Caenorhabditis elegans: one gene and its partner. The main gene of each other region encodes a partner of the protein of the gene in region 2 in a complex. Each region holds a gene or a part of one and is shown on either strand. Other genes may lie near its edges. The genes, in order: lin-54 and lin-52.

Region 1 (4,881 bases), on a different chromosome or scaffold from region 2:
ACGTAGAGCGTGGATTTTTTGAGCAGATCCTCGCAGCCCGTTCCGTGCTCTTTCCACATTTCAGTGACTGCTACCATCTCAGCATGCCTTGTCGGATCACCGGTCTCGTTCACACGATTCCGACCTCTTCCAATTTCTGTTCCATTGACCACAAATACACATCCAACTGGAACTTCATCTTCATCTAAAGCTTCTTGAGCCAATTCGAAGGCTTTTTCCAGAAATGCAGTGTCCTCGGCGCTCAGCTCGTTTTCTGACATTTCTAATAAATTTTCTAGGTTTTAAAGGTGTACTAATTCGCATTTTAATTATTTTTTGCACAATAAAAATTAATTTTAATTTTAATCGCAGACCAGCGATGCATATTGTGCGCCGAAACACTCCTGAATAGCTTTGTTTAAAATAGGAGCGTGTTTCGGCGCACAATACGCAATTAAAATTTAATTTAAACTTCTGAATCAAAAAATCAAACATTTCTCGAAATAATTACTTTGCTGGGAACAAATGTGCAACTATGCTGCCAAATAATAAAAAAAAGACACAAAACTTCATAAATATAACACAATAATTTCTAAAATTGAAGAGACGCAGGTGAGTTAGTAAAAATGAAACAAATTTTTCTGATCATTTTTTATTTGACAACTTTGAAAGAAGGCAACTTGTGAATCTGTAAAAGCATTGAGAGGAGGGGAGGAAGGCAAAGAATGTGTGAGAGGTGAGATCATAAAAGATCGCGCAACTGTGATAAAATTGATAATAATTTTAATGCGAATAGTTAAGAAGTACTAGTAGATGGTCCTGGGATGTCATCCGTTGGAGCGGCATCAAGATCTTGTGTGAGCTCAGTTGTGTTTGTGATCATTTGTTCGAGACAGCGGCCGAATTCACGAAGGACAAGCTTCTCCATATTGATGAGTTTTTCGTCTTCGGTTTGCACTTTTTCGTAGTTTAACTGCAAAGAAAAAAAATTAAATTCAATAGGAAACCAATTGATTTTCCAACTAACAGCTTCTTCAGCTTGAGCAACCATGCACATAGTGGCTGCCTCAACGACTTCATCGGTCATATAGTACCACGGGAAGCGTCTAGGATCCATCTCGACCTTCGGTTTATGCGAAAGAAGCATATCCTCGTAGTCGTCTCCATGCTCATCGGTCACCACACTTCCCGGACCAGAATCTGGAGTCGCTGTGCTGGAAGCGTTGGTCAATGACATCAGGGCATTCGTATTGGACACGGCACCACCGGAGTTCTGAAATTAAAATTTGAATAAGAAATTAAATTTATTGCAAGAATTGCGGTATTTTGAACGTATAGAGATCCAAAATATGATTTTTTTAAATTTGAAAAAGGTGAAATTTGAGCTAAAATATTCAATTTTGGCCACTTTTCCGCGTCGAAGCGGTCGGAAATTGACATTTTTAAAATTATCATCTTTTATTGCATATTTTGGTATTTTATCTAACGTTTTTTTAAAAATTTCATCAATTAAAGTACATTTAAGGCCGAGAGGTGACCAAAAATGATCGAAATTGGTTACCGATCAGCTTTAAATGTACCTTAATCAATGAAATAACGTCAGATAAAATACCAAAATATTCAATAAAAGATGATAATTCAAAAAAAGTCAGCTTCCGACCGCTGGGACACGGAAAAGTGATCAAAATTAGCCTTTTTCGGAATTTTGAACTGCCAAACAAAACTTGTTAATTTGAGCACATTTGTTAGCCTATACGTTCGAAAAATCCAGAATCGTTACTCCATTTTTTAAACTGAATTATAGGAAATTGCACCTTGTATCTTGTCATTCTGTATGTTTCAGTATTCTGACATCCTTTGCACTTGCATCGATCGGTACACGGAACCTTTGCTTCATAACACTCACAATAGTTTTTCAGACAACCACTCTTTTTACAGTGACATCCTTTCTGATGAAGACGTTCGATGTCGGTAATACCTCCACGAGCAATACCAATTTTTGGCTTGAAAGCGTTCGGATTTCGCTCAAGTGACTGACGGATGGCTTTTGAACGCTGACTGTCGTATTCTATATTATTGTGACAATCCTTGCAATTGCAGTCACGACAGAACTCTCCATTGGCGAAACAATCACAGTAGAGCTTGAGGCATTGAGATTTCGTGCAATTGCATGGTTTCCGCTGGCCAGGTGCAAATACTTTTCTTGAAAAATAGAGGAATTAGTGAAAAGTTACAAAATTTGAGTTCTTTACTTTTTAGTTTTCAATCTAATATGACTAACGTGATCTTTCATATCGATGTAAACTTTTCGCTGTTCAGAATTTCCCATCTCCAAGCCCATTGGTTGCACTGTTCTAGCTTAAATAAAATAATTATTAGGACAAAAGATCTCTAGTTTACGAACGTAATGAAGCGGGCTGTCGATCGTACATTGAAGGTGAACCCGATAAATTGGACAAATTCCGCACAGTGTACTGAGACGATCCGGGAGTGCTGGGCCCAGGCTGAAAAAGCTTCCAAAGAGGTTAGTCAATTCGTAAAAAATCGAAAATTTTTAAAATTACTTTTCGCTGAACTGGTCTCGGAGGGGGGACGTAGACGCGATGCGATGATGTATCAATTGGTTCGTCTTTGACCAATCCCTGATTAACTTCCATTGATCGATTATGCTGTTGAATCATACTCGAGGTTCCCGGACGATTTTGCTGCGCCTGTAAGTTCTGAGAAAAGTTTATTTTTATTTCGAATTGAAAACAAATTACTGGATTATGAGGCACAAGCTGTCCATTAACTTCGATAAATTCGGCACCTTCTTCATAATTATCGTATATCTCCGATTCGTCGTAATAATCATCGTCGTCTTGATAAACGATTTCTCCTTGATTCATTGTCAACACTGAAAATACTGAAAAATAACTAATCAGGAAAACAATGTTTTAGCATTTGGAAAGAGATTAAACGAAAAGAAATTAAGTTATCTTGCCAGAAAATTCCCAACAAAAAAAAAAGAACATCGTTTTGAGGATGAAATACAACTTATTTACGTTCCTTTTTGAACCAAAATTTCATTTTTCGCCGTCTAAATACTTTCAAAAATGTTAAATTAGTAACTTATTTCTTGAAAATCAATAATTCAATAAGATTTAATATTAATAAATTTAAAAAACACCCAAAAAAAGGATTAAAAAATTGTTTCGCGCGCCGAAATTTGATTAAACAAAAATAATGCAAGTGCGCTCCACAGTTAATGTTGTTTGAAAATTGACATCGACAATTCGCTGCGTAGCGACGCAACAACCATTGTGATACGGAGTCAATTCGCCGGCGCCAAGTCCTCGCGACGAATTTTTTCTCACTTTTGTCACCGCCGGTATCCCTGGTAGACGTCACTCATCATGCCACCAAAGTTCGACCCAACTGAGATTAAGATCGGTAAGTTGCTCATTTTTGTGCACATTTAATTAGGTATTTGACGTATTATGCGTGATTTTCAATTTGTCAAAGATTTCATCATCGTGATTTTTGAAAAACTCTTTTGCATCATTTTCACTTTTCAGTGTACCTCCGTTGCGTCGGAGGAGAAGTCGGAGCCACCTCCGCTCTTGCCCCAAAGGTCGGACCACTTGGATTGTCTCCAAAGAAGATCGGAGAAGACATCGCCAAGGCCACCCAAGACTGGAAGGGTCTTAAGGTCACCTGCAAATTGACCATCCAGAACCGTGTTGCCAAGATCGACGTTGTCCCATCTGCTGCTTCCCTCATCGTCAAGGAGCTCAAGGAGCCACCACGTGACCGCAAGAAGGTCAAGAACGGTACGCATTTAATGCGTTGGGTCGGGAGTCGATATGCTCTCATCCCCTGGTCTCTTACTTCATAAGTTTGTAAAAGTTTGTGACTTAAAGACTAGTAACCTAAGTGATTTTCATGCTCCGTGAGTTTGATTTTTCCTGGGTTTGGTGTTGTCTCGTCCCAACGGGTTGTTTAATCAATCTAGTTTAACGTTTTGCACGTTTCCATTTCAGTGAAGCACAATGGAGACCTCACTGTTGACACCATCATCAAGATCGCCAGAATCATGAGACCAAGATCGATGGCCAAGAAACTTGAAGGAACCGTCAAGGAGATCCTTGGTAATATTTCGAAAACGATAAACTGTTTCTAAATATTGTATTTTTTCAGGAACAGCCCAATCCGTTGGATGCACAATTGATGGACAACACCCACACGACATCATCGAGTCGATCGCCAATGGAGAGATCGAGATCCCAGCTCAATGATCTGTCACTTGTTTTTGTTGTTCCAATAAATTCTTGTTACTATCTGCGTGTATTTTGATAAATATCTCAATAAATCATGCAAGACGTCTAATTTAGAATTTGTATCGAAAGACACTGGTGTTGGGATTCATTTGTTATCTATTTCTGGTAAAAGAACTCGTGCTTCGTCGCTTTTCGAAATCGATTTTTGCGTGGAGAGAAACTGCGCTCTGATGAATTTTTTCTTCAGTTTATTTTATTTTAAAATATTTTCGCTTCATTCAGAAATGGCCTCGTGTGAATCAATGTGCCCAGTCGCTGAAATAAATTTTCGAAGCCGGAATCATCTGATAGATCAATTAGAAGCTACTGCATCGACTAGTTCAGGACCCCGGTCAAAATACGTTGCAGATCCGACGAAAATGGTCAAAGAGTACTCACGATCAGCTGCTGACACCCATAAATACAACAAACCGGAACTATTAAGGCCTTTTCCCGTTCTACAACACACAATAGACTATCTTCTGGATTTGTACAGTCCGTTTAAAGGTGAGTGTCATGTTTGGTGTTGTGGTAAATGCTCCAATTATGGTGCAAAACGTCTCAGCTCAGTCACCGCCGACGCACCTTGTTTTCACGCATTCTC
Region 2 (3,033 bases):
AGAGTACAAGATTATTGTAGTCGGTCTCGATAATGCAGGGAAAACGACGATTTTATATAATTAGTGAGTTAATTTCAGAAAAAAAACACATTAAATAACTTTTAAAAATTTAGAAATAATTTCTAATCCAAAAAAAAAATTATAATTCAGTGTGACAAAAGATCAAGTTGAAACGAAGCCAACAATTGGAAGCAACGTCGAAGAAGTTTCGTATCGAAATTTAGATTTTGTGATCTGGGATATTGGCGGGCAGGAGAGTCTACGAAAGTCTTGGAGTACTTATTATGTTCAAACAGATGTTGTTATAGTTGGTATGAATAACTTTTAGTAAATGATATTAAAATTAAAATTATTTTCAGTTATTGACAGTTCCGACACCACTAGGATTCCAATTATGAAAGAACAACTGCACAATATGCTTCAACATGAAGATCTTGCTCGTGCTCATATTCTGGTTTTGGCCAACAAACAGGATCTGCCCGGAGCAATGAATCCAGCAGAAGTATCCACACAACTCGGTCTCCAGACATTACGAGGTGCTCGGAAATGGCAGATAAATGGATGTTGTGCTGTGAAAGGAGAAGGATTGCCGGAAGCTCTCGAATGGATTGCCAACAATTTGTAGAAACGTTTATATTTATAAATTTCAAAAATTGCCTTAAACTTTGCCAGCCTCGTTTTTTAAACTCTCACTGTGAGATTATGTGATTTGCCAACTTTCTAATTGTGCTCTGTTAGTAATCAAGTTTATTCATGTGAATGTTAATGAATGATGAGATCATTATTTTTTGATAGACCACTATTCAATTCACTGGCTTCCTGTCGTTTCTTCCGCTACATTTTTCGGTGGTGTTGGCTGCAAATATCTCGGAGAAGCCGAGCCAGTGGGTTTCAGCACGTTGAGCAACTTTCCACGTCGGCACTGGCGAGCTTCTTCGATTCCAAGAGTGTACACCGAGTTTTGAATGTTTCGGATGAGCTTGGCGATATCGTCGGCTGGGCAGTGGCTCATTGCTGAAAGTTAAAAATTGAAATGAATATGGAACAATATGAATACGAACTATTAACAGTCACAGCATCTTCCTTGAGAAACGAAATATTCTTGTATGGCGATTCGTAACCTTTTGATACTGATTCGCTTTGAAATGCTTCTTCAAAATCGAGACATTTCATTGGAACTGGCTCACTTTCTTCTGGCATTGTTTCGGTGCATTCGAGCATCTTTTTCTGTTGTTCTGAAAATATTTAAAATTCGAAGAATCTTTCTTTTCTACAATATAATACCAACCAAGCATTTTCGCCTGTTCTGCGTTTGATTTCTTTTCGATCATTTGTTGGACGAACATTTCGTCATCTCCAAATTCGTATCCAATAAATCCTAGCGGACGCGACATTTTTTTCCTGAAATTACCGCTATATGTCAGAATTTAAATGTTTAGAATTGAGTAAGTATAGAGCTTGTGACGAATTAAACGTTAGGCCGCAATGAAGTAATTGTATTGATTTCTTCTTCTAAAAAATAATTCTCACAAAACAAATATTTATTTGATGTGAACAAAAACGGGATGTGAAGAAAATTACTCGGGAATTTACAATAAAATACAAAAAAAAATCGATTGCTAGACAGCCTAGCCGGTGGGTACTTTACAAATTTTAAATTTACACAATACGGTTAAAAATAATGAAGAAACGAGAAACAAGGTAAAAAACATGAATCAGTGGGCAGTCGGTGGTGGAATAGAGAAATAGTGTCGGGCAGTCACATGAAGAATGATTCTGAAAAATCAAAAATAGGAACATGGTCCGCAAACACGGTAGCATATTAACGCACCACTTCTCTTTTCTCTTTGCCTCTCCGTTGCTGGCGGTTTGAACAACCTTGCGAGTGTCCCCTCCTGGCTGAGATGCGTGCTTGTGCTCCACTCTGTCAGACTTGGTGCGCTTTCCGCTTCCAGTGGTGAGATCCTAAAATTGAAATTATTCAGTTTAAATACAATATATGCATTGCACTGACCGGTCCTCCGGTTTGCTCGAATGCGGCAGCCATTTCTTCAGCAGTCGACGACATCTCGTTGGTAATTTTCTGCAACAAAAAATTATTATAAAGCTTAGAGACGTGTAAGCAACACAAAAATGAGAGAATGAACCGACACAAGAATGACCAAAACAAGTGTTATCAAAGTGAAATGGACGATGATTGGCAGTTGCATGATTAGAAAGAAGTAGGCAGAAAAGGGAGGAGAGTGCCAAGAAAACAAAACTGTGAAAGAACCGATTGAATAGCATTTGAAACGATTGGAGTGTGTTTATTTGAAGGACGATAGTGACAAATCTAAATTTTGGCGCGCGTAGTGTTGACGAAGATCAAATCTATTTACAAGTGTAAATGTTTAAAATCGATAATTTGAAATTTTCGATTAGGAATAAGGCTGAAAAGTATTTAAACAAAGCTTCAATTGAGAAATACCAGAAAAATTCGTTAAAAATTTTCAACGAGTTTAAAGGAGGGCGCATTTGTGTGGAATTTGTGTGGCGTAGAGATTTCTTTATTGATTTTTCTCGTTTTTTTTTTTTAATATTCTGACTTATATTGCGTTTATCAGCCATAATAAATGTTAAAAAGGTCGAAAATGAGAAAAATCAATGGAGAATGAAAAACAACTCTAAATGAGAGTGCGTTTTTGTAGAAAAGCTCTACAAAAGTGAGAAATAAAGTAACGTTTTCAGGCTTTTTTTCAAGAATAGAAATCTGCCTGAATATTTTTAGCGAATCAACAGCAGACGGACAGTTTCATTCAAATACTCGTATTTATACATTTGCGTTGGCGCCAGAGACACGTGATGGATAGACGAGCGGAGACCATCGAAAAAAGTAAAAATGAAAAGAGACGCAGAGCAGCACATTTTGAGGGCTGACTTGTTTCTGCTAGATATATTGGTGCGGTGTCATCGAAGGCACAGAACAAAAAGAAAAAAGAAGCAAGAAAGAAAAAAAAGAAACGAACAAACAAGACAAAAAAAATAAATCGATCG

Evidence for each region.
Region 1: lin-52 (region 2) and lin-54 share a complex: the UniProt entries of both Caenorhabditis elegans proteins name them as parts of the DRM complex.

What each region holds. Positions count from the first base shown.
Region 1 is NC_003282.8:13,239,054-13,243,934, reverse strand, and holds lin-54 (Protein lin-54), read right to left. Parts: upstream 2,885-4,881; 5' UTR 2,868-2,884; coding exon 2,742-2,867; intron 2,700-2,741; coding exon 2,544-2,699; intron 2,493-2,543; coding exon 2,384-2,492; intron 2,338-2,383; coding exon 2,232-2,337; intron 2,182-2,231; coding exon 1,794-2,181; intron 1,253-1,793; coding exon 1,007-1,252; intron 953-1,006; coding exon 776-952; 3' UTR 534-775; downstream 1-533. Other genes in the region: JC8.4 (CMP/dCMP-type deaminase domain-containing protein), read right to left, coding at 1-260; rpl-12 (Large ribosomal subunit protein uL11), read left to right, coding at 3,375-3,411, 3,537-3,791, 4,002-4,109, 4,159-4,256; tag-115 (SAC3/GANP/THP3 conserved domain-containing protein), read left to right, coding at 4,523-4,784. UniProt on the Caenorhabditis elegans protein: Synthetic multivulva class B (synMuvB) protein. SynMuvB proteins are required to repress the induction of vulval development by Ras signaling and probably act by forming the multiprotein DRM complex that repress transcription.
Region 2 is NC_003281.10:9,823,350-9,826,382, forward strand, and holds lin-52 (Protein lin-52), read right to left. Parts: upstream 1,402-3,033; 5' UTR 1,395-1,401; coding exon 1,289-1,394; intron 1,236-1,288; coding exon 1,062-1,235; intron 1,015-1,061; coding exon 809-1,014; 3' UTR 734-808; downstream 1-733. Other genes in the region: arl-5 (ADP-ribosylation factor-like protein 5), read left to right, coding at 3-63, 151-311, 360-625; ZK632.9 (uncharacterized protein), read right to left, coding at 1,776-1,776, 1,832-1,965, 2,015-2,068. UniProt on the Caenorhabditis elegans protein: Synthetic multivulva class B (synMuvB) protein. SynMuvB proteins are required to repress the induction of vulval development by Ras signaling and probably act by forming the multiprotein DRM complex that represses transcription.